Linked DNA regions of Stegostoma tigrinum. The protein of the gene in region 1 purifies or fractionates together with the protein of each later gene. This does not show direct contact. Links are inferred from orthologs where the notes say so. Each region holds a gene or a part of one and is shown on either strand. Other genes may lie near its edges. The genes, in order: ercc3 and ccnh.

The links.
Region 2: the proteins of ercc3 (region 1) and ccnh purify together in Homo sapiens (affinity purification with mass spectrometry; 9 studies listed by BioGRID and IntAct, counting the BioPlex papers as one, with this or other methods). This does not show direct contact. The link is inferred for Stegostoma tigrinum from reciprocal best matches to the Homo sapiens genes ERCC3 and CCNH.

The regions. Positions count from the first base shown.
Region 1 is NC_081360.1:103,813,232-103,825,692, forward strand, and holds the start of ercc3 (general transcription and DNA repair factor IIH helicase subunit XPB), read right to left. Parts: upstream 6,575-12,461; 5' UTR 6,474-6,574; coding exon 6,455-6,473; intron 2,263-6,454; coding exon 2,054-2,262; intron 1-2,053. UniProt on the Homo sapiens protein: ATP-dependent 3'-5' DNA helicase/translocase. Binds dsDNA rather than ssDNA, unzipping it in a translocase rather than classical helicase activity. Component of the general transcription and DNA repair factor IIH (TFIIH) core complex.
Region 2 is NC_081356.1:95,560,538-95,573,222, reverse strand, and holds the start of ccnh (cyclin-H), read right to left. Parts: upstream 4,971-12,685; 5' UTR 4,921-4,970; intron 4,788-4,920; exon of another isoform or gene 4,641-4,787; intron 1-4,640. UniProt on the Homo sapiens protein: Regulates CDK7, the catalytic subunit of the CDK-activating kinase (CAK) enzymatic complex. CAK activates the cyclin-associated kinases CDK1, CDK2, CDK4 and CDK6 by threonine phosphorylation.

The DNA.
Region 1 (12,461 bases):
TGCTGGCCCAGCCAACGATGACCACATCCAATGAATGATAAAAACAAGTACACCACTATCAACATATGACTCTCCTGATTAAAATTCTAAACCCTTGTATACACAGACTAACAAAAGCAAAACACAACTGTTATGGGTAGAGGGAAAAGTACTGGGGAATCCCTGTTCAAAAGCACCAATACACAAGCTTCACTGGGGTGCTTTTTTGCTTCCCAAGATCTCCTGTTCTCTAATGTCTTTTCCAGGTTGTTTCAGATCTTTGCTAAAGACATAGGGAAATGCACATGAATTGTTCAGTTTCACAGTAATTGATTAGAAGCAATAGCTAAGAGATTGCCAAGCAGCAGTATAAGCAGAAATCACAATAATCTCCAGTAATTTAATTTTTACGAGTGCAGCAATTCATTCCAGTCTTTGGTTTTAAAACAAACAAAAATTAACGAAATCAAAAAGATGCAGTCTTCCTGCCTGAACAGATCAGCACTGATCTCACTGAATTCTAAACCTCAAAGGCCATTCGGTCCCTCAAACAAGCTTCACTTTTTGATTTTGGTTTCAATTCCACTTTCCTACCTCTCCCTCAAAGTCCTTGGCTCCTTTGTAGAATAAAAATTCAGCCTTGCTGGAGGAGGTAACCCCAAGATTAAAAACCCACAGAAAATAAAACTCTCATCTCCATCTTAAATGAGAGACCTCTTGTTCTGAACTTGTAGCCCCAATCCTTAACTCCCCCACAAGAGGAAACATCAGAAAGTGGTTCGGAAGACGAATGGAATGTTATATATTACAAGGAGAATAGAACATAAACGTAGGCAAGTGAACTTTATCTGAAGTGCCTCCAATGCAACCATATCCCTTAGATGAGGAAACTAGAACTTCACACGGTAATCTTGCCATATAAATGCTGATCTACTCAGCAATGCCCATATTACATGAATAAATCAAAAGCGCATTCTTACCGACACCATGCACAGATACAGTAAACCTTTCCTACGTTTATGTTCCATTCTCCTGGCAATAAATAACATTTCATTCGCCTTCCTTATCACTTTCTGTACCGACATACAAACGTTATGCGATTCTTGTACCAGGACACCCAGATCCTCCTGCACCAGCAGGTTCTACAATCTCCCTCCATTTAAATAATATAACGCTTGCTATTCATCTGGCCAAAGTTAACATTTTCCCACATTCTACTCGATCTGCCAAGTGTTTGTTTACTTGCTGAAATTACTCATATTCCTTGCAGAGTCTCTGTAACCTCTTCACAATACAACATCCTAACTTGGAAATGTATCGCCATTGCTTCATCGGATTTAGGTCAAAATCCTGGAGCTCCCTACTTATGGGCACTGTGGTTGTTCCTACACCAAATGGACCGTAGAGGCTCAAGGCAGCAACTTCTCAAGGGCAACTGGGGAAAGGAGTAAGTGAAGGCCTAGTCTGTGACAACAACATATCATGCATTAATACAAGACAAAAGTGCTTTCCTACTTATCTTTGTGTCAGCAGCAAATTAGGTTACAATGCGTCCACTTGTGCAAGTCATTACCAAGGATAATAGGCTGGCGTGCCAATCATTATTAAAGACACAAAGTGGTTGGATCCCAGATTGACCGATGCTACATTCCAGGGAAGGTGATAGATGCGGATTTGATAGCAATGTTTAACAGGCATTTAGTTAGACACGTGAACAGAGGGATATGGACCACAAGCAGGCAGACAGAATTCATTTATAATGACGTGATGTTCAGGGCAGACATGGTGGGCAAAACAGCCTGTTCATATACTTTTCTGATGAAGGGTCTAGGTCCGAAACATCAGCTTTTGTGTTTCTAAGATGCTGCTTGGCCTGCTGTGTTGATCCAGCCTCACATTTTGTTATCTCGGATTCTCCAGCATCTGCAGTTCCCATTATCTCAGTTCATATAGTATACTATTCTATGTTCTATTCCACTAGCTGTAGTTTGTCAATTCAAAAATGACGCTTTCAACGCAACACTGCGTCCTGTCAGTTAGTCAATCCTGATACAAACCACTGTGGCTGACTTACCACCCAAAGTGGTCTGGAGGTGTGATCCTCTTTTAGGGTCATCAGTGTCCTGTAATCCTTGGCCCCATACTCATCTTCCTTAACCACAGTCTGCTCCACCTGTTTCCCAGCCGCAGAAGGGACAGCCTCCTGAGATTCGGTATCCATGGAAAGCTCATCCTCATCCTCTTCCTCATTATCATAACGACGCTTCTTGAATTTTTTCTTGTCTGATGGAAAATTTAAAGGTGATTAAAGTGTTTTTAAAGGAAAATGAGTAAAGGTAGGAAAGTAAGTTGAAAGGCATTTACAAAAAGGTCAGTCAAGAGACAGTGATGTGGAAAAACATTTCAGTTGGGATGTAAGGTAGGAAACTGAGGTTAAAAACCAAAACAGCTGCGGGTGCTGTAAATCAAGAACAAAAACAAAGTTGCTGCAAAAGCTCAGCAGGTCAGGGTTAGGGTTAGGGGAAGGGTCACCAGACCCGAAGTGTTAACACTGATTTTTTCCTCACAGATGCTGCCAGACCTCCTGAGCTTTTGCAGCAACTTTGTTTTTGTCGAGGAAGTTGAGGTTGTCTGCTTTAGCAGGAATAACAGAAAAACAGATTATTAATTGAATGAGGAGAGACGAGAGAACACTGTGAAACAGAGAGATCAGGGTGCCCATATGCAAGTGTCACAATAAGTTACAGAGCAAGTAATCAGAATGATTAACTCAAAGACTATAAATTCAAATTCCCCCAGATGAGTCTGACAACTTAAAATGTCGATTTTGCAGAAACGCATCAGGTTTACTGGAAAGAAACTTGTAATACTACCCATTCCAATTTATGTCCAACTGCAATTCTCTTCCCACCACCACCACAGCTGACTGACACTGACTTGGCCCAGAAATGTTGGAGGCCATCACGCAGTTTAAGCAAACCACCACAAAGCAGCTCAGGCACATGATCGATTCACCGATTCACCTCCAGAGGCTAAACTAGGGGCAGGACAAGGCAATCAGCCAGCAACGGCCAACATCCAGACAGCAAACAGAACAGTGAAGATTTCAGTTTGATAACCCAATACAGAAGCTGTTTCCAAAAGTGGAAGCAGGCACCAAGTGCCAATTTTGTCAACAGACTCTCAAATTGCTTATAAAATGACTTCAGTAAGAAAGAAAACTGCCTGCTTGATTGGCACCACATCCACAAGCATCCACTCCCTCCACCACCGACGCTCAGTCGCAGCAGTGTGTACCATCTACAAGATGCACTGCAGAAATTCACCAAAGATCCTCAGACAGCACCTTCCAAACACACCACCACTTCCATCTAGAAGGACAAGGACGGCAGATACATGGGAACACCACCCCCTCGAAGTTCCCCTCCGAGCCATTCACCACCCTGACTTGGAAACATATTGCTGTTCCTGGGTCAGAATCCTGGAACTCCGTCCCTAATGGCATTGTGGGTCTAACTACAGCACATGGAATGCAGGTTTTTGTTTAGATTCCCTACAGTGTGGAAACAGGCCCTTCAGCCCAACAAGTCCACAAAGTCCCCTGAAGCATCCCACCCAGACCCATCCCTCTAAACGCTACGGGCAATTTAGCATGGCCAATCCACCTAACCTGCATATCTTTGGACTGTGGGAAAAACCGGAGCACCCGGAGGAAACCCACGCAGGCACGGGGAGAATGTGCAAACTCCACACAGACAGTCACCAGAGGCTGGAATTGAACCAGAGTCCCCGGTGTTGTGAGGCTGCAGTGCTAACCACCGAGCCACCGTGCTGCCCCAGTTGTTCAAGAGGGCAACTCACCATCTGGGGCACCTCTCCATAAGACCATAAGACATAGGAGTGGAAGTAAGGTGATTCGGCCCATCAAGTCCACTCCGCCATTTAAATCATGGCTGATGGGCATTTCAACTCCACTTCCCTGCACTCTGCCCGTAGCCCTTGATTCCTTCTGAGATCAAGAATTTGTCGATCTCTGCCTTGAAGGCATCTAACGTCTCGGCTTCTACTGCACTCCATGGCAATGAATTTCACAAGCCCACCACTCTCTGGCTGAAGCAATGTCTCCTCATTTCAGTTTTAAATTTACCCCCTCTAATTTTAAGGCTGTGCCCACGGGTCCTAGTCTCCCCGCCTAATGGAAACAACTTCCCAGCATCTACCCTGTCTAAGCCATACATTATCTTGTAAGTTTCTATTAGAACTCGCCTCAACCTTCTAAACTCTAATGAATACAATCCCAGGATCCTTAGCCGTTCATCGTACGTTAAACGTACCATTCCAGGGATCATCCGTGCGAATCTCCGCTGGACACGCTCCAGGGCCAGTATGTCCTTCCTGACGTGTGGGGCCCAAAATTGGACACAGTATTCTAAATGGGGCCGAACTAGAGCTTTATAAAGTCGCAGATGCACATCACTGCTTTTATATTCCAACCCTCTTGAGATAAACAACAACATAACATCACATTACATTCGTTTTCTTAATCATGGACTCTACCTGCAAGTTAACTTTTAGAGAATCTTGGACCAACACTCCCAGATCCCTTTGTACTTCTGCTTTACGAATTTTCTCACCGTTTAGAAAATAGTCCATGCCTGTATTCTTTTTTCCAAAGTGCAAAACCTCACATTTGCATCTCAAGGGGCAACTACTGATGGGCAATTAACTGCTGGCCAGCCAGTAATGCCCACACCCCATGATTTTACAGTACAGAAGACTGTTTGAAACCTCCTAAGGAATCTGCCTCTCCCAAGCAGTGTATTCCAAATCCTAAACAACTGAGTAAAGAAGTTTCTCATCATCTAACTCCCAACTTTCTGGTTGACAAGTTTGAAATTGTGACCCCCTGGTTACTGGCGTACCAATAAGTTGAAACAAAATATGTTTTATTAATCACAGAATGAGGGTGTTCTTAGCCAGGCCAGCATAAATTGCCATTCCCCAATTAGCCAGCAGGCATTTAAGAATCAACCATATACTTTTTCAACTTGACAAAACTGTTCATAATTTTGAACCCCTCCATACAGTCACCTCTTAAATCTTCTCTACTCCAAGAAGAATAAGCCTAATTTCTCATTCTAGCTAAAATCCCACATTGCTGGTATCATTCTAGTAAACTTCATTTAATTCTCTATTGGGTTGTAACATCCTTCCTTAAATAAGGCACCCAGAACTGAACACAATACTCCAGGTGATCCAGAATTTCTCTCCGCAGCTTGAGCAAACTTGCTGTGAGTGAGATAATACAGTATTCCCTGACACTGTACTAGTGACGCCATCACAACTGGATATTAGGGCATCCTGTGGTCATGAAACAGTCCTTCAGTTAAAGTTAACCTATTTTGATGGGACAGCTGTGAAGGATTAGATTAGATTCCCTACAGCGTGGAAACAGGCCCTTCGGCCCAACAAGTCTACACCGCACCTCGAAGCATCCCACCCAGACCCATCCCCCTATAACCCTCACACCCCGAACACTACGGGCAATTTAGCATGGCCAATCCACCTAACCTGCACATCTTTGGATCGTGCACAGGATACCGCGTAGAAACTGCCAATTACCAAACACAACCAGCCTCACAACAATCTGGAACTCGACTGGTTCAGTAAAAGAGAACAGAGGATATCAATATCAAATCTGGTACTGTTCACACACATAAAACAAAGATAGATGCGCACTTATACGGCATTTATCACAACCATTGAAATGTCAGAATACTCTACAGTCAATTAAGGACTTTTTGAAATGACGTTACTGTTGCAATGAAGGAAACATAACCTATAAACAGCAAAAGTACAACAGCTAGACAATCTGTTTTTGCAATGTTGGCTGAGGGATAAATATCAGCTAGCACAACAGGGTGTTGTGTGGGGGGGGTGCGCGTGCGGTGGGGGGGTGGAGGGGGTGTGCGGTGGAGGGGTGGGGGGGTGTGCGGTGGAGGGGTGGGGGGGTGTGCGGTGGGGGGGGTGTGCGGTGGGGGGGGTGTGCGGTGGGGGGGGTGTGCGGTGGGGGGTGTGCGGTGGGGGGGTGGGGGGGGGTGTGCGGTGGGGGGGTGGGGGGGGGTGTGCGGTGGGGGGGTGGGGATGGGGATGGGTGGGGGGGGATGGGGATGGGTGGGGGGGGGGGCGGGGATGGGGATGGGGTGGGTCTGGATGGGGGGGGCGGGGATGGGGATGGGGTGGGTCTGGATGGGGGGGGCGGGGATGGGGATGGGGTGGGTCTGGATGGGGGGGGCGGGGATGGGGATGGGGTGGGTCTGGATGGGGGGGATGGGGTGGGTCTGGATGGGGGGGGCGGGGATGGGGATGGGGTGGGTCTGGATGGGGGGGGCGGGGATGGGGATGGGGTGGGTCTGGATGGGGGGGGCGGGGATGGGGATGGGTGGGGGGGGTGTTGTGTAACCGCGGGCCTTACCTCTCTCCTTCTTGCCCATCGTTCCCCGGTGTCTAGAAGCATGCGCAGATACGGCCGAGCCCAGTGCGCATGTTTGGACCCGGCGCTGGTGTGCCGGTACCGGCGCGCGTGCGCAAAGCGAAAATCCTCTCCACCCAACCATCAGTCACATGATTCCTCCAGCTCAGTGATACCAAGTGATCTGTGGTGCAGAGAGAGAAGGAACTGCAGATCCTGGAGAATCTGAGATAACAAGGTGTAGAGCTGGAGGAACACAGCAGGGTCTTGGCCCGAAGCATCAGCTTTCCTGCTCGGCCTGCTGTCTTCATTCCAGCTCCACACCTTGTTATCTTAGCAGGGAGACAGAATCCTGGTAGTCATGGGCAATACTTGCTCGACAGTTCGCACAAAAAAACGGACAGCCTCATCATTCCCATATTGACGTTTTGCAGCAACCTACCAAGTGGCACATTGACAATCAGGTCTGCTCTATTACCATCGTGGCTGCCCTCTGGCTGTAAAGTGCGTTGGGTAGAGGTGTGGTCATGAAAAGATATTGTAGAACCAAAAGTCTTTTTTAACACATCAGAATTGTAAATGTGAAATAAGGCACTAATAGAACATACAACTGCACGCACTGGATAGGCAGGTACAGTACAGGTAATGTTGCTGATTGGCTTCTATGTGAAGCTGATATCACATACCAACTCAACTATTACAAATAAAAGTCTTGCATCTTTTTTAGGATGTCATAACATCTATTTGACCCTTCATAAATCCTTCATTTCAGCAAGGAGATAATGTAGAAAAAGCACAAAATGCTGGAGTAACTCAGTAGGGCTGGCAGGACATGCGAAGAGAGAAACAGTTATTGTTTCACATCTGGTATGACTTCTTAATTGGAAACTGTTGGAAAATGTTTTATTTTTAAAACTTCTGAATTTCTCCAACATCAGTCAGAAGCTTCCATTGTCGAGGAAGATCTGCCTACTGAGTCAGTATGGGTGGAAATTAGGAACAGCAAGGGAGTAGTCACCTCGTTAGGGGTTTACTACAGGCCCCCCAATAGCAGCAGGGAGATTGTAGAAAGCATAGGTCGACAGATTTTGGAAAAGTGAGGACGCAGTAGGGTTGTTGTAATGGGTGACTTTAACTTTCCTAATATTGATTGGAACCTCCTTCGAGCAGAAGATTTGAATGGAGCTGTTTTTGTAAGGTGTGTTCAGGAGGGTTTCCTAACTCAGTACGTTGACAGGCCGACGAGGGGAGAGGCCATTCTAGACTTGGTGCTCGGAAACGAGCCGGGGCAGGTATCAGATCTTGTGGTGGGAGAGCATTTTGGTGATAGTGACCATAACACACTCTCATTCTACATAGCTATGGAGAAGGAGAGGATTAGGCAGAATGGGAGGATATTTAATTGGGGAAGAGGAAACTATGATGCGATTAGACACGAGTTAGGAAGCATGGACTGGGAGCAGTTGTTCCATGGTAAGGGAACTATAGACATGTGGAGATGGTTTAAGGAACAGTTGTTGGGAGTGATGAGTAAATATGTCCCTCTGAGACAGGCAAGACGGGGTAAGATAAAGGAACCTTGGATGACGAGAGCGGTGGAGCTTCTAGTGAAAAGGAAGAAGGTAGCTTACATAAGGTGGAGGAAGCTAGGGTCAAGTTCAGCTAGAGAGGATTACATGCAGGCAAGGAAGGAGCTCAAAAATGGTCTGAGGAGAGCCAGGAGGGGGCACGAGAAAGGCTTGGCAGAAGGAATCCGGGAAAACACAAAGGCATTTTACACTTACGTGAGGAATAAGAGAATGGTCAAAGAAAGAGTAGGGCCGATCAGGGATAGCATAGGGAACTTGTGTGTGGAGCCTGAGGAGGTAGGGGAAGCCCTAAATGAGTTTTTTGCTTCTGTCTTTACGAAAGAAACGACCTGTGTAGTGAATGAAACCTTTGAAGAGCAGGTGTGCATGCTGGAATGGATAGAGATAGAGGAAGCTGATGTACTGAAAATTTTGTCAAACATTAAGATTGACAAGTCGCCAGGCCCGGATCAGATTTGTCCTCGGCTGCTTTGGGAAGCGAGAAATGCAATTGCTTCGCCACTTGCGAAGATCTTTGCATCCTCGCTCTCCACTGGAGTCGTACCTGAGGACTGGAGAGAGGCAAATGTAATTCCTCTCTTCAAGAAAGGAAATAGGGAAATCCCCGGCAATTATAGACCGGTAAGTCTCACGTCTGTCGTCTGCAAGGTGTTAGAAAGGATTCTGAGGGATAAGATTTATGACCATCTGGAAGAGCATGGCTTGATCAAATACAGTCAACACGGCTTTGTGAGGGGTAGGTCATGCCTTACAAACCTTATCGAGTTTTTTGAGGATGTGACTAGTAAGGTTGATGAGGGTCAAGCTGTGGATGTGGTGTATATGGACTTCAGTAAGGCATTTGATAAGGTTCCCCATGGAAGGCTCATTCAGAAGGTCAGGAGGAATGGGATACAGGGGAACTTAGCTGCTTGGATACAGAATTGGCTGGCCAACAGAAGACAGCGAGTGGTAGTAGAAGGAAAATATTCTGCCTGGAAGTCAGTGGTGAGTGGGGTTCCACAGGGCTCTGTCCTTGGGCCTCTACTGTTTGTAATTTTTATTAATGACTTGGACGAGGGAATTGAAGGATGGGTCAGCAAGTTTGCAGACGACACAAAGGTCGGAGGTGTCGTTGACAGTGTAGAGGGCTGTTGTAGGCTGCAGCGGGACATTGACAGGATGCAGAGATGGGCTGAGAGGTGGCAGATGGAGTTCAACCTGGATAAATGCGAGGTGATGCATTTTGGAAGGTCGAATTTGAAAGCTGAGTACAGGATTAAGGATAGGATTCTTGGCAGCGTGGAGGAACAGAGGGATCTTGGTGTGCAGATACATAGATCCCTTAAAATGGCCACCCAAGTGGACAGGGTTGTTAAGAAAGCATATGGTGTTTTGGCTTTCATTAACAGGGGGATTGAGTTTAAGAGTCGTGAGATCTTGTTGCAGCTCTATAAAACTTTGGTTAGACCGCACTTGGAATACTGCATCCAGTTCTGGGCGCCCTATTATAGGAAAGATGTGGATGCTTTGGAGAGGGTTCAGAGGAGGTTTACCAGGATGCTGCCTGGACTGGAGGGCTTATCTTATGAAGAGAGGTTGACTGAGCTCGGTCTCTTTTCATTGGAGAAAAGGAGGAGGAGAGGGGACCTAATTGAGGTATACAAGATAATGAGAGGCATAGATAGAGTCGATAGCCAGAGACTATTTCCCAGGGCAGAAATGGCTAGCACGAGGGGTCATAGTTTTAAGCTGGTTGGTGGAAAGTATAGAGGGGATGTAAGAGGCAGGTTCTTTACGCAGAGAGTTGTGAGAGCATGGAATGCGTTGCCAGCAGCAGTTGTGGAAGCAAGGTCATTGGGGTCATTTAAGAGACTGCTGGACATGCATATGGTCACAGAAATTTGAGGGTGCATCCATGAGGATCAATGGTCGGCACAACATTGTGGGCTGAAGGGCCTGTTCTGTGCTGTACTGTTCTATGTTCTATGTTCTATGTTATCTGTTGTCCAGTGCTTTTATTCATGGTTATACTGCACTTGCCTAAGACATTGATTAACCTCAGCTAGTGTATTAGGACATTGGTGAACCTGATGGGTTTTTCCTGACAACTGGCAATGGTTTCCTGATTATCATTAGACTATTTTTTATTCCATCCTCCATGGCGCAATTTGAATGTGAGTACCCAGAACAGTACCTGGTGCTCTCTAGGGCCGAACGTCAGCTTTTGTGCTCCTGAGATGCTGCTTGGCCTGCTGTGTTCATCCAGCTTCACACTTTGTTATCTTACTCCAGGTTATTAGTCTAGCGATAATATCACTAGGCCATTGCCTTTCTTGGACTAATTGGCCTAGCGTTATTATTGCTCCCCACTTACCATGCTGAACTGTTGTTATTCCCACGTTTCAAACTAAAGTTTACTCCCTGCTTCACCTGCACAAACCTGGAGGTGTTAGTAGATGGGATGGTCATGAAAAGGGCAGTTCTTCCCCTTGAGGCTCATCACAGGATTCCAGGAGACCAAACCCAGGCAGCCTGGGGCAGCAGAACATTCTTCCAGATTTGAGCACAAGGACATAAGTAGGTAGATATTAAAGGCTTTTGAATATAATTTTCATTTACTAAGAAGTTAATCAATGTGACTAACAAATAGAACTGTACTTTGTTACATTGGTCATTTAAAATCCAAGATTATGAATTGACAAGCCCAAGTTCAGCAGTAGTAATGAAACTGTACCCAAATGGATTAGGAAATGCTCTTTAAAGCAAATTTATAAACGTACGTGTTCTTAAAAATATTGCCCAACGACTATATTTAAGCAGAAAGTTGAGGAAACAGAAACTACATTTCCCCAGGGCACGATCGACTGCCACGAGGGGTCGTAGTTTTAAGGTGTTAGGAGGAAGGTATAGAGGAGATGTCAGAGGGAGGTTCTTCACCCAGAGAGTTGTGAGCGCATGGAATAGTTTACCAGTGGTAGTCGTGGAAGCGGAGTCATTAGTGACATTTAAGCGACTGCTGGACATGCACATGGACAGCAGTGAATTGAGAATTTAGGTTAGGTTATTTTATTTTTGGATTAGGATTATTCCACGGCACAACATCGTGGGCCGAAGGGCCTGTAATGTGCTGTACTTTTCTATGTTCTAAAATGAGTTTTGGGCATTAAGCAGAAAGAGTGGAGTCGAGGAGTGGAGCGAGTAAGCCATGTCCCGCAGCAGACCAGAGCGAGCAGGCCGTGCCCCGTAACGGAACAAGCACATGACTCGATGAGCCGAATGGCCTTACTTCCACTCCAATGTCTTATGCCGAATCCCGCAGAGCGAACAGGTGATTCCCAGGAGTTGTGGTAGAGTGAGCCCTTGACTGAGAGCGGCCCGCGGAAGCAGCGTAGCCTAGTGCTCTGGGACCTGCAGGAGCGGACTGGAACTTATCACTCTGGAATTTTTCACTGTTTCAAACTAATCTATATTCTTTTCTTTACTCTGTAACAACACTTTATTTTTACACAATAAGATTTATAGCTAGGTACTGATACCTAAGATTGTGCCTTTAAAAGCAGCCGTTGTAGAAACTTTTCACTGTACCCCTGTACTGGAATGCATGACAATAAAGACTATTCTGTTCTATCCTATCTAGCCCAAGGTTCCAGTATTGTGTTAAATGGCCAAGCAAACAGGAAACACAATTTGAGAAGAACATTCGTTGTGTGTTGCAGCCTGGACACATTTTTTTATTTTAGTTTGGCAAAGTTGCTGTAGCAAACTTGACAGGGATTCCAAAAGCCCAACAGACAGGCAACGAATCTACACTTCAGAAAGTGAAAGTGGGTACTGCAGGCACGATTCTTGAAATTTACATGGAATTCCAATATTCGGTTTTCATTAAGGAGGGATCTGCTTGAGGGTAAATACAAATATATTAATTAGTAGCAGGATGTGGCCAACTGATCCTGCTCCCTATTTAATAGCATCATGACCCATCTGGTTATTCTACATTCCCAACTATCCACTTATTAATAATATATCCACCTTCGTCTTACAAAGATTCTGCTTCCATCACCTTTTAAGGAAGAGAATTCAAAATTTCCCTTAGAGAAATAAATTTGCTTCATCTCGGTTTTAAATGGGCAAACCCTTATTTTTGTGACCCCCAGCTCTGATTTCTCCCCAGCATCGTTTCCACATCACTTCTGTTAAAACACATCAGAATCTTGTGTTTCACTCAAGTCACTTCTTACTCTTCTAAACACTGGTAAATACAGGACTAGCCTGCCCAGGACTGTCCTCACAAGACAACCAACCATTCTAAGTATTAGTCTGATAAACCTTTTCTTTAATTGCTTCCAGTGCACTTAGATCTTTTCTTAAATGAGGAGGCCAATACCACATAACAAAGTGTGAAGCTGGATGAACACAGCAGGCCAAGCAGCATCTCCTGA
Region 2 (12,685 bases), on another chromosome or scaffold:
AGTGGGGTTATTTGCTGATGACCGCACCATGTTCAGCAACATTTGCAACTCCTCAGATACTGAAGCAGTCTATGTCAAAATACAGGAAGACCTGGGCCACATCCAGGCTTGGGTTGAAAATGGAAAGTAACATTTGTGCCACACAAATATCAAGTAATGACCATCTTCAATAACACAGTCTAATAATTACCCCTTAACATCTAGTGGCATTACCTCACCGAATCTTCACTATTGTGGAAGTTGCCGTTGACCATAAACTAAATTGATCCAGCTGTATATACATACCAAGGCTGCAAGAGCAGGTCAAAGGTTACAGATTGTGCAACAAGTGACTCAACTTTTGACTTCAAAGTCCTCCATCTACAAAGTTCAAAACAGAATGATAGAACACTCCCCATTTACCTGGATAATATTACCTCCAGCAATAATCAAGAAGTTTGGTATTATCCATAAAAAAGCAGCCCATTTGATTAACACCAATTCAATTAACATTCACATCATTAACACACCACCTACAAGTTTCCATGTAGAAATTCCCCAAGACTCCTTAGATATCATCTTCCAAACCCACTACGATTACCATCTCAAAGGACAAGTGCAGCAGGTACAATGAAAACACCACTACCTACAAGTTCCCCTCCAAGGCACTCACCATCCTAACTTGGAAATACACAGCTGTTCCTGTACAGGTGCTGTAACATTTCAAGAAAGTAGCCCACTACCATCTTCTTAAGGATGATTAGGAAATGACAATAAATGTTGGCTCAACCAATAAAGCTGCAATCCCCTGAATGAATTTTAAAAAATGCTGCCAAGTCTGAAAATGCTAGGCTAAAAGAAAGATTGATTAGGCTGGGCTTTTTTTTAAAACTTTGAAACATTGATACCATGTATACAATTGTGAGGGATCTAGGAAGAGTAGATAGGAAGGATACATTTCCTTTACACACTGATTGTTAACCAGAAGGCAGGGATTTAAAGTAATTGGCAAACTTGAAAGGAATTAAAGAGAAATACTTTTACACAGAGGTTGTCTGGAAGTCAGTACCTGAATGGGGTTGAAAGCGGGTTTGGGTTGAAATGGTGGGGTGGTTAGCTTAGTTAGCTGTTTTGCAATGCAGAGTGATGCCATACTGGCTGGGGTTATCATGAAGACTTTCCTTCTTGGCCTGCCCCTCACTGGAGGCATGGTGATCCTCAGGTTAAACCACCAGCAGTGATCTTTCTCTAATGAGACAGCAGCCCTGTAGTCAGCAAAGACATCTTTAAAACTTTTCTGGTAGTATTTGGGTGTTTCCTTGATGATGTTAAAATGCAAACTTTTTCACAGTTTTCTTGCTTGACTATTCTATACTTCGATCATTTTACAGCTGGGAGGGACGCTTCATAAATTTTTTTTTCCAAATTCATACTGAATGGCAGAGCAGGCTGGAGAATTCTAACAGACTACTCTTGTTCCTATTTCTTGTGGTTTATGGTGCTAAGATCACCTCCAAATCTCAGCTGTTTTACTACAGTACTGGGGCATACTGCACAACTGAGGTACAATGTTGGATGAGATAACCATACACATTTACTTTCAGATGAACATAACGAAGGTCTCATTGCACTAATCTCAAACAGCAGCATAAAGATATATTTATCTTAAAATTACTTTGAAAAAATTTGGCCTACAATATCCCATATAACAAAAAAGTCACTTCCAAAAACTTTGCTGATGCCCATTTTATAAAAAGTTTTGAAAGATCAAGCAGTAATTTAAAATTAACGTACAAAAATAATTTCCAGATGACCTATTTTTGCCCACTGGAATAATGTCCAGGCAAATAGTTGTAGACCAATTTAAGAGTGCAGAATTACCAGAGTAAATCCATTATTTACAACTATAAATACAAATTAGCGAGTTTTGAGAAGATTTGTAGCTCAGGTTGAGGTTCTGGATGTCAGTTTGCTTGCTGAGCTGGAAGGTTAGTTTTCAGACGTTTCATCACCATTCTAGGTAACATCATCAGTGAGCCTCCGATGAAGCGCTGGTGTTAGGTCCTGCTTTCTATTGTATTTATTTATAAATAGAAAGCGGGACCTAACACTAGCGCTTCATCGAAAGCTCACTGATGATGTTACCTAGAATGGTGACGAAACATCTGAAAACTAACCTTCCAACTCAGCGAGCAAACTCACATCCATAAATACAAATTGCATTTATACGGTACATTTTATGTAATAAAACATCCTAAGGCAATTCACAGGAGCATCACAAAATTTGAGACCAAGCTAGATGATGCAGTGTCCTGACATATGGCCACAGACTTGACCAAATAAATAAATTTTAAGGGGCATCTTAAAAGACGATCACGAGAAGTGCTCATTCATTTAATGTCAGACTTTACATGGGGTTACAATCTGACAGGCAGTTAAAATAAAAAGTTACAACATATCATTTATAGATAGAAAGAAATGCAGATGCTGGAGTCAGAGGTAACACAGTATGGAACTGGAAGAACACAGCAAGCCAGGTAGCATCAGAGGTGCAGATAAGTTGACATTTTGGATCGGGACCCTTCTTCAGAAAGGGGGAGGGGGAAGAGTGTTCAGAAATAAATACAGAGAAGGGGTAGTCCTGGGAAAGGTAGGTGGGATGGCGATAGGTGGGTGCAGGTAGGAAATCGTCAGGATTGTTCAGTGGGGCGGATAGGTGGGAGAGAAGAGGGACAGGTTGTGTCAGGTCAAGGTGGCAGGGATGAGGCCAGGGATGGGGAGATTTTAAAACTGGTGAATTCTATGTTTAGGCCACTGGGCTGTAGGCTCCCAAGATGGAATATAAGGTGTTGCTCCTCCAGTTTGTGTGGTATCATTGTGGCACTGGAGGAGGCCCAGGATGGATGTGTCACCCAGCGAGTGGGAGGGGGAAGCTAAAATGGTTGACAACTAGAAGATGTTGTTGTTTGTCCCATGCAGAGAGCAGGCTCTCTACAAAACACAGTCTCCAAGTCTACACTTGGTCTCAGCAATGCAGAGGAGGCCACATTGGGAACTGCGGATACAGTAGACCAAGTTGACAGATGTGCAAGTGATCGCTGTCTGATATGAAAGGTTTGCCAGGTGCCTTACATGGGGGTTGGGGGGGGGGGGGAAAGGTGGAGGGGCAGGTGTAGCACTTCCTGCAGTTCTAGGCAAAGGTTCCAGGTTAGTAGGGTAAGTACAGACTGTAGAGCGGATGAGTGAGTCATGGAGACAGCCATCCCTACAAAAGGCAGATATTGTTCTGGAGGGAAATATCTCTTTGGTTGTGGGGTTGGGCTATAGGTGGCAGAAAATATGTTGGATGCAGAGATTGGTGGGGTGATATGAGAGGACAAGGGGGATTGTGTCTTTATTTTTGCTGGGGGGAGGGAATGTGAGGGCAGAGGTGCAGGAAATGCAAGAGATGTGGTTGAGGGCATTTACAATCACTTGGGGGGGGGGGGGGGAGAAGAGCAGATGTTAAGGTCCTTGGTGGGATGTCCATCTGGGCCTCCTCCATTGTGATACAATGGTACTACATGAAAACTAGAGGAGTAAAACATATATTCCACCTTGGGAGCCTACAGCGCTACGGAATTCACTAGTTTTAAAATCTCCCTAACCCCAACCTCATCCCATGTCCAAGCCACCCTCTCATCCCCACCTCCTTGACCTGACCCAACCTGTCCATCTTCTCTCCCACCTAGCCATCCCCCCCACCTAGCTGACCAATTCCCACTACTCCCTACTTGCACTCAAAAAAAAAAATCACCATCCCACCCACATTCCCCACCTCCACCCCTCCTCTATTACTGAGCTCCCTTCCCCCTCCCCATTTCTGAAGAAGGGTCCAGACCCAAAATGTCAACTTTACTGCTCCTCAGATGCTGCCTGGCCTGCTGTGTTCTTCCAGCTCCACAATGTTATCAACATATCACTTATGTCTACTTTATCAGGCCCACCACTAAAGTCTAAATAAACTCATGAATAAAATGTGGGAACTTGTGTTTGTCCTTCTGAAACTCTTTGTCTAATGGACCCTCAGCACTTCACAGCCAAATAAGAGCTCCTGAAGTAAAACAAAGAACTGTGGATGCTAGAAATCTTAATCATAAATAGAAAATTGTCACAAAACTCAGCAGGTCTGGCAGCATTTGTGGAAAAAAAGCAGAGTTGATGTTGCAAATCTAGTGACTTTTCATTAGACACCAGTTTGACCATGCTGTCATTAGACTCAAACATTAACTCTTGCTTTCTTCTCGCAGATACTCCCAGATTTGCTGAGCTTTCATCAGCAATTTCTGTTTTTTCAAAGTATTGCTGTAATCTTGAGAGAAAAAAACATCAGTAGACTTTCATACAGCAATCTTCCACAAACAGTGATGGAGGCCAATTTATTTTGGTGACGGTGACTAGGTTCCGAAGATAACTACACCACAAAGACTAGTCAATGCACCAATATCCGGTCTCCTGTCTTGTTCCAAGAAAGTGATAAGGGACCTTTTACATCCATCAGAAAAGGCAGATTTAATCTCAACTGACGATCTTATCCAAAAAACATTTTCAACTGGCCCTCTATTATAACGGCCAGACTGGATTCACGAGTACAAGACCAGCAGTGCGACTTGAAACCTCACCTTTAAACTGGGGATGAGGGAATATTAAATATGAACGGACTGCAGGAAGCGCAGACCACAAAGCATGAGAAAAGCACGAAGAGTTTGAATCGGTCTGCAGAAGTCAGGTGCCGACTGTAAATCAAGCCGAACCACCCCCACACGCTTTCCCATTATCTCTCTTACAACAGCAGGAGGAGTCGGGAGCTTCAACGGGACTAACGGAGCTGCTCACACATTCAAACCCCAGGGTAGAGATCACGCTGCACCAACACAGACAACCTCTAACGTTCAGACTCACCTGGCTCGAGACTGCTTTCGTTTCCGCTGTTCAGCACTAACCCCACCTCCTAGTGACGTTTCGCGAAGCGTTGGTCCAATGGGAAACGAGTCGGGTTGAGGGCCGTGATCTCGCGTGAGAACAGTCAGCCTGCGACGGTTTGGAACGTGGGAACCTAGCTGTCAGCCGCTTGGGTTGGGGAAGGAAGAGCAGAGGTTAAGTCGGAGAGTACGGTGTAATGTACTTTCCAGTCATAGCTACCGAGCTGTGTGACTATGGAAAACATGAACGGTTTGCAGCCTTTGAAGGGGTTGACCACAGCGTTCCCGCCCTTTGCCCTGGTAGAAATGGGCTCGGGAGCCAAGGTAAAAATCGGGGCAACAGCGAGGCCATGTTCTTTGGGAATTGGGCCAACCGATCCTTCATTCCCGTCACCGTCACGACAGATTACCTGAAAGTGCTGGGAATATGGCTCAGAGGGCCTAGGGCATGCACAAAATCTGAGAGGAGTGCATCGCCAAAGTGAAGCAGAAATTGGTCTTCTGGAAGCACTGTTCCTTGTCCGTTGCGGGGATAAACCTGGTTATCAGGTGTGAAGCACTCTGTCTCTGATGCTGTAAACGACACAGGTCTGGCCTGCCTCCCGTCACTGATGTTTCAATCACCTGAGTCATCTTCTATTTCATCTGGAAGCCTAAGATAGACTGGGCCTGCAGGAACTCCATGTATAAAACTCTGGATGGTGGTGGCAGAGAACGTTCCCACTGTTGCCCTCCTGATGGCCACCTTTGTGTTTTATCATACAGACCTTTCATCACCATGCTGGGTAACATCAGTGCGGCATCCAATGAAGCAAAACTGTTCTACTCCACTTGGAATTTATATGATCTGCTCTGTCGAGTTGTGTTGTGCCATTTCCTGTTCTTTTTTGCATGGGTTTGTACATGAGGTCTAATTCCACATGTTTGTTGATTGCATTATGGGTTGAAAACCAGTGCATATCTGTTGTTGGCTTGAGCCAGGATGGTCCCATTGTTCCAGTTAAATTGATGGCCACATTGTCTGAGTGCACTGTGATGAGGGAAAGTTTGTCATGTTGTTTTTCTGCCACCTGGTGTTCATGTATCCTGATGGCTAGTTTCCTTCCAGTCTGGCTATTGTAATGTTTGTTGCAGTCATTGGAAGGTATTTTTGTAAACTATGTTGGTCTTACACGTCATGGGTATGGGTTCTTTGGTCCTTGTGGGTGTTTGTTGTAGTGTAGCTGTGGATTTGTGTCCTGCCATGATTCCTAGTGGTCATAGGAGTCTCGTCAGTTCTGATATGTTCATGATATAGGATAGTGTGATGTGTCCTGTTGGTGTTGCCTATCTAGACGGCACCTGCGGATGAAATTGTTGGGATGTCTGTTATTAACAGATACCTTGTATAGGTGCTCTTCCTCCTTTCTACGTAGTTCTGGCATGTTGCAGTGTATTGCGGCTCATTGGAATAATGTCCTAACACAGCTTTGTTTGTGGACGTTGGGTGATTGCTGTGGAAATTGAGGATTTGGTCAATATGGGTTGCCTTCCTGTGTACTGTGAACTCCCCATTGGTCATTCGTTCTACCCTGACATCTTGGAATGGAAGTTGATTGTTGTCTTCATCTTCTTTTGTAAATTTGACCCTAGGACTCGGGACTTATTGCAGGGGCAGTCATGCAAAGACTGGAGTGCACAAACCTGCCCCTCATACAGCCAGAACTGTGGATCTGATACATGGATGATGCATCATCATTAAACCAAGTTAGAAGAAACGCACCATCTTATCAAAAACATTTTCACCAGGATCAAATTAATGAACAACGGATATCTCAATAATTTCATCCACAGGTGCCTACTAGATGGATGAAGCTAAATAACCAGCCAGCAAAGCGAGCAAGCCAACAACCTCATCCACAAGCCAAGCTACAAATCTTAACAAGAACATTAAACCTTTGTGTTTGGCTACATGAAGCTGTGCATAGACCCTTAGTACACAACACCAAGTGCCACTGCATACTGAGGTTTTACCTGTCCCTCAGTGTTTCAAGGGATGGGACTGGCCTTGCTGCCACATCCCCTATCACTTCTCCTTCATCGAGAAATTTGCAAAGCACCTTTGACTAGCAGTCCATCAGGAAGTGTACCCTGAGAGAAAAGAAGAGGGTGGATCCTGTTGCATGGTTCCCTAAGAAAATTGTCAAAGTCATTTGGCAGAATGCCTCATCACCCGAACTTCGGAAAAGCACCAAGACGTTGCTTGGCTTTTGCTGATAAGGGAAGTACCTGGGAGATCCTTTATGTCTGCACTACTGCCCGCTGCTCTTGAAGTGGCTGGTTCGGAGGTTTGAAGATGGAGGGTGGTGGTGATGGGGGGCTGCTGGTGAGGGGTATTGAGGTTGAGACTGTGACACATCTCCTTCTGGAATATGCCTCTGCCAAAGAAGTCTGGAGGAAGATGCATGGTTTGTGTCAAGGTTTGTCTTAAGCAGCTCCGTGACACGGGACTGTGCCCTGTACGGTCTGTTCACCAGGACACACACCGAGACAAACATTAGCTGGAGCTGGAGTACCATCAATTCAGTGAAAGACGCTCTTTGATTTGCTCAAGACTTGTTAGTCATTCAGAACAAGGAGCCAACCTCAACTCGGTGTTGCAGACTGGCACATTTCAAAGTCTGGGACTGCATGCTGAGGGACACACTAAAGTTTGGGGCAGCTGCCATCAAAGCACAGTGGGGAAGGACCACTGCTGAAGTCTTCCAGCTAAAAGTAAATGAGTGTCCTTCCAGTTATTGGACCCTCCTAGTGCCTCAAATATAGGTAAATATTAGTACTGTATGTGGAAGAAAGGTCTTTGGTTTTTTGGTTAGGTTTGTTTATTTACTGATGTGCAGCTATACAGAACCAAATTGCTTTTGTGACAGCGTATACATATGAGAGAATTTTTTTATGAATACAGTATATTTTTGAAAGAAAAAAAAATTAGTTTGCCCAAAACGTAATGGTCTTCCAGATTCCTTATGGAAACAGTTAAAGTTGCCAAACTGAAAGACTTCTTCAGCCCCCCTGCAGATGGATTGTAACATAGATATACCTGGTGGCCACTAGACGGATCTGTCTATTCAAGGATCAATTTCGTGTTTGCATCTTACACCTTCTCATTCAGATCCACTGATGTCAAGCCAATACTCTTCTCTGACCACTGCTTCCTGCTGGCTGACTGCCACCTATAGGATGCCCACAGGCCGGCAAGAAAATGTGGAAGCTGAATGTGAAAACTGTTAACTCCAGAAAATATTGAGGAGCTCAAAAGGGGTTACAGGTTGGAGAACCGTGAAGCCCCTGTCTAACTCTACACTGGACTGGGGGGGGAAACAGTCAAGGGGAACATCAAGACGTTCTTTATCCTCAAAGGTGTTCTGAAGGCCATTTCGGAGACATGGATAGAGCAGGGACAGGAATGGTTGTTGCAGGTTCCGGGATTTAGATGTTTCAGTAAGAGCAGAGAAGACGGTTAAAGAGGGGGAGGTGTGGCATTGTTGGTCAAGGACGGTATTACAGTTGCAGAAAAGATGTTTGGGGACTCGTCAACTGAGGTAGCACGGGCAAGGTTGGAAACAGAAAAGAAGAGATCACCCTGTTGGGAGTTTTCTATAGGCCTCCGAATAGTCCCAGATATGCACAGGAAAGGATAGCAAAGATGATTCTCGATAGGAGTGAGAGAGACAGGGTAGTTGTCATGGGGGACTTCAACTTTCCAAATATTGACTGGGAACACTATAGTTCGAGTGCTATATTTGGGTCAGTTTTTGCCCAGTGTGTGCAGGAGGGCTTCCTGACACAGTATATAGACAGGCCAACAAGGGGCGAAGCCACATTAGCTTTGGTACTGGGTAATGAGCCCGGCCAGGTGTTAGATTTGGAAGTAGGTGAGCACTTTGGTGATAGCGATCACAATTCTGTTATGTTTACTTTAGTGATGGAAAGGGATAGGTGTATACCACTGGGCAAGAGTTATAGCTGGGGGAAAGGCAATTACAATGAGATTAGGCAAGATTTAGGGAGCATAGGATGGGGAAGGAAACTGCAGGGGATGGGCACATTAGAAATGTGGAGCTTATTCAAGGAAAAGCTCTGTGTGTCCGAGATGAGTATGTACCTGTCAGGCAGGAAGGAAGCTGTAGAGCACGGGAGCCGTGGTTTACGGAGGGAGTGGAATCTCTGGTCAAGAGGAAGAAGAAGCTTATGTTAGGATGAGATGTGAAGGCTCAGTTAGGGCGCTTGAGGGTTACGAGTTAGCCAGGAAAGACCGAAAGAGAGAGCTCAGAAGAGCCAGGAGAAGACATGAGAAGTTGCTGGCTGATAGGATCAGGGTAAACCCTAAGGCTTTCTATAGGTATTTAAGGAATAAAAGAATGACGAAAGTAAAATTAGGGCCAATCAAGGATAGTAGTGGGAAGCTGTGTGTGGAGTCAGAGGGGATAGGGGAAGCACTAAATGAATATTTTTCAACAGTATTCACTCTAGAAAACGACAATGTTGTCGAGGAGAATACTGAGATACAGGCTACTAGACTAGGTGGAATTGAGGTTCACAAGGAAGAGGTATTAGAAATCCTATAGAGTGTAAAGATAGATAAGTCCCCTGGGCCAGATAGGATTTATCCTAGGATCCTCTGGGAAGCCAGGGAGGAGATTGCCGAGCCTTTGGCATTGATCTTTAACTCGTCATTGTCTACAGGAATAGTGCCAGACGACTGGAGGACAGCAAATGTGGTTCCTCTGCTCAAGAAGGGGAGTAGAGTCAACCCTGGTAATTATAGACCAGTGACCCTTACTTCAGTTGTTGGTAAAGTGTTGGAAAAGGTTATAAGGGATAGGATTTATAATCATCTAGAAAAGAATAAATTTATTTGGGATAATCAGCACGGTTTTGTGAAGTGAAGGTCGTGCCTCACAAACCTTAGAGTTCTTTGAGAAGGTGACCAAACAGGTAGATGAGAGTAAACTTGTTGATGTGGTGTATATGGATTTCGGCAAGGCGTTCGATAAGGTTCCCCACAGTAGGCTATTGTACAAAATACGGAGGAATGGGATTGTAGGAGATATAGCAGTTTGGATCAGAAATTGGCTTGCTGAAAGAAGACAGAGGGTGGTGGTTGATGGGAAATGTTCATCCTGGAGACCAGTTACTAGTGGATTACCGCAAGGGTCGGTGTTGGGTCCACTGCTGTTCGTCATTTTTATCAATGACCTGGATGAGGGCGTAGAAGGATGGGTTAGTAAATTTGCAGACACCACTAAGGTCGATGGAATTGTGGATAGTGAAGAAGGATGTTGTAGGTTACAGAGAGACATAGATAAGCTGCAGAGCTGGGCTGAGAGGTGGCAAATGGAGTTTAATGCGGACAAGCGTGAGGTGATGCACTTCGGTAGGAGTAACCGGAATGCAAAGTACTGGGCTAATGGTAAGATTCTTGGTAGCGTAGATGAGCAGAGAGATCTCGGTGTCCATGTACACAGATCCTTGAAAGTTGCCACCCGGGTTGACCGGGCTGTTAAGAAGGCATACAGTGTTTTAGCTTTTATTAATAGAGGGATCGAGTTCCGGAACCATGAGGCTATGCTGCAGCTGTACAAAACTCTGGTGCGGCCGCGCTTGGAGTATTGCGTACAGTTCTGGTCACCGCATTATAAGAAGGATGTGGAAACTTTGGAAAGGGTACAGAGGAGATTTACTAGGATGTTGCCTGGTATGGAGGGAAGGTCTTATGAGGAAAGGCTAAGGGACTTGAGGCTGTTTTCATTAGAGAGAGGAATGTTGAAAGCCGACTTAATTGAGACATATAGAATAATCAGAGTGTTAGATAGGGTGGATAGTGAGAGCCTTTTTCCTAGGATGGTGATGGCGAGCACGAGGGGACATATCTTTAAATTGAGGGGTGAAAGATATGGGACAGATGTCAGAGATAGTTTCTTTACTCAGAGAGTAGTAAGGGAATGGAATACTTTGCCTGCAACGGTAGTAGATTCTCCAACTTTAAGTACATTTAAGTTGTCATTGGACAAGCATATGGACGTACATGGAATAGTGTAGGTTAGATGGGCTTGAGATTGGTATGACAGGTTGGCACAACATTGAAGGCCGAAGGGCCTGTACTGTGCTGTAATGTTCTCTGTTCTGTGTTCTATAAGGTCAGAGAGAGGTAGAGGAAACTGTCCAAACTCCAGAAAACCATGCAGAACCTGCTCCTGCTGCAGACGATGGAGTTAATGTCACGGATGATCTCCAAGAAGTAAAGAGCCAGCAAGCCTCCCTCTTTGCCCAAGAAAATCTTCTGCACCAAGATCCACCCCATGGAGCGGGATGAAACATGCTCGTGTTTCTTCTTCCAGAAGGTGTACAAGGAGAACTCTGTGCTCAGCAGCCTGGAGGAAGAAGATAACTTGTTAACATCATTTCAGTCTGACATACTGAGGATCAGCAAATGCTTTTATGCCAGTCTGTATGACACAAAGTCCACAGACAGTAATTCCTGTCATCTATCATGGAAGTCTTAGATGATAGCACAGGAGAGAGGATGGACCAGCTGTTATATCTGGATGAACTGACAAAAGCTCTCGAGTAGAAAAGTATAAAACTTTCAGAAGTGACAGCTTACCAGCCAGGTTGTGTTCAGCTGTATGGAACTTGATTGGCTAGGACCTGTGGGTATGTTTCTGTCAGATAGCATGTGCAAATCAAGAGGAAAGGTAGCATCACCCTCATCCACAAGCAAAATTGGGGGGGAGGGAGGAAATTAGAAATTGGCAACCAATCTCATTGCTGAATGAAGATTATGAAATCCTGCCTAAGGCCATCGGCAACCAGGTCAGGTCTGCTCTGGAATTGGTGCTTTACCCCAACCCATCCAAACCTGGGTTATACTGGGCTGGTTGATCTCTGAGACCCTTGCACACTTCAGGAATGTGATTACCTATGCCTGCCTCATCAGCTTGGACCAGGAGAAGGCCTTTGACAAGATATTGTACACGTACATGTGGGGCGTGCTGTACAAAATAGGATTTGGGGAGGGAATCTGCAATTGGGTTTGATTGCTGTACACCAACATCGTTACTGCAGTTTCAAAAAATGGGTGGGAATCAAAAAGCTTCTCATTCAGGCTTCCCATTTGGATTCAGAGTCAGGCAGGGCTGCTCACTCTGTCCTGCCTTGCTTGATTGTTGAATAGAGCCTTTTGCTGAGTCCATCGGGAAGGATGCAAGCCTAAAAGGGGTAACTATTCCAGGCAGCGGAAGCCAGCAGGTCGACGCCTCCTTGTATGTGGATGACAACGCTGCTTTCTGCTGAATCCGCTGTCTGTGTGCAGACTCATGAACATCTGTGATTAGTTCGAACTGGCCTCAGTCGGTTGCATCACCACAAGCTGCCCTCAAAGCAGCTGCAGGGGTAGATTGAGACTGTTACACATCTGCTGGAATATGCCTTTGCAAAGAATGATTGGAGAACGATGCAGTGGTTTCTGTCAAGATTTGTCCCGGACCAGCTCTGTGACGTGCACTCTGTGCAATACAGTCTGCTTCCCAGGACACACACCGAGACAAACACCAGCTGCTCCTGGAGGCCCATCAACTTGGTGAAGGACATTCTTTCAACTGCCCGAAACTTGTTGACTTTCCAGAACAAGGAGTTGATCTCAACCAAGTGTTGCAGACTGGCGCATTCCAAAGTCCAGGGCCATGTATTGTGGGACACACTAA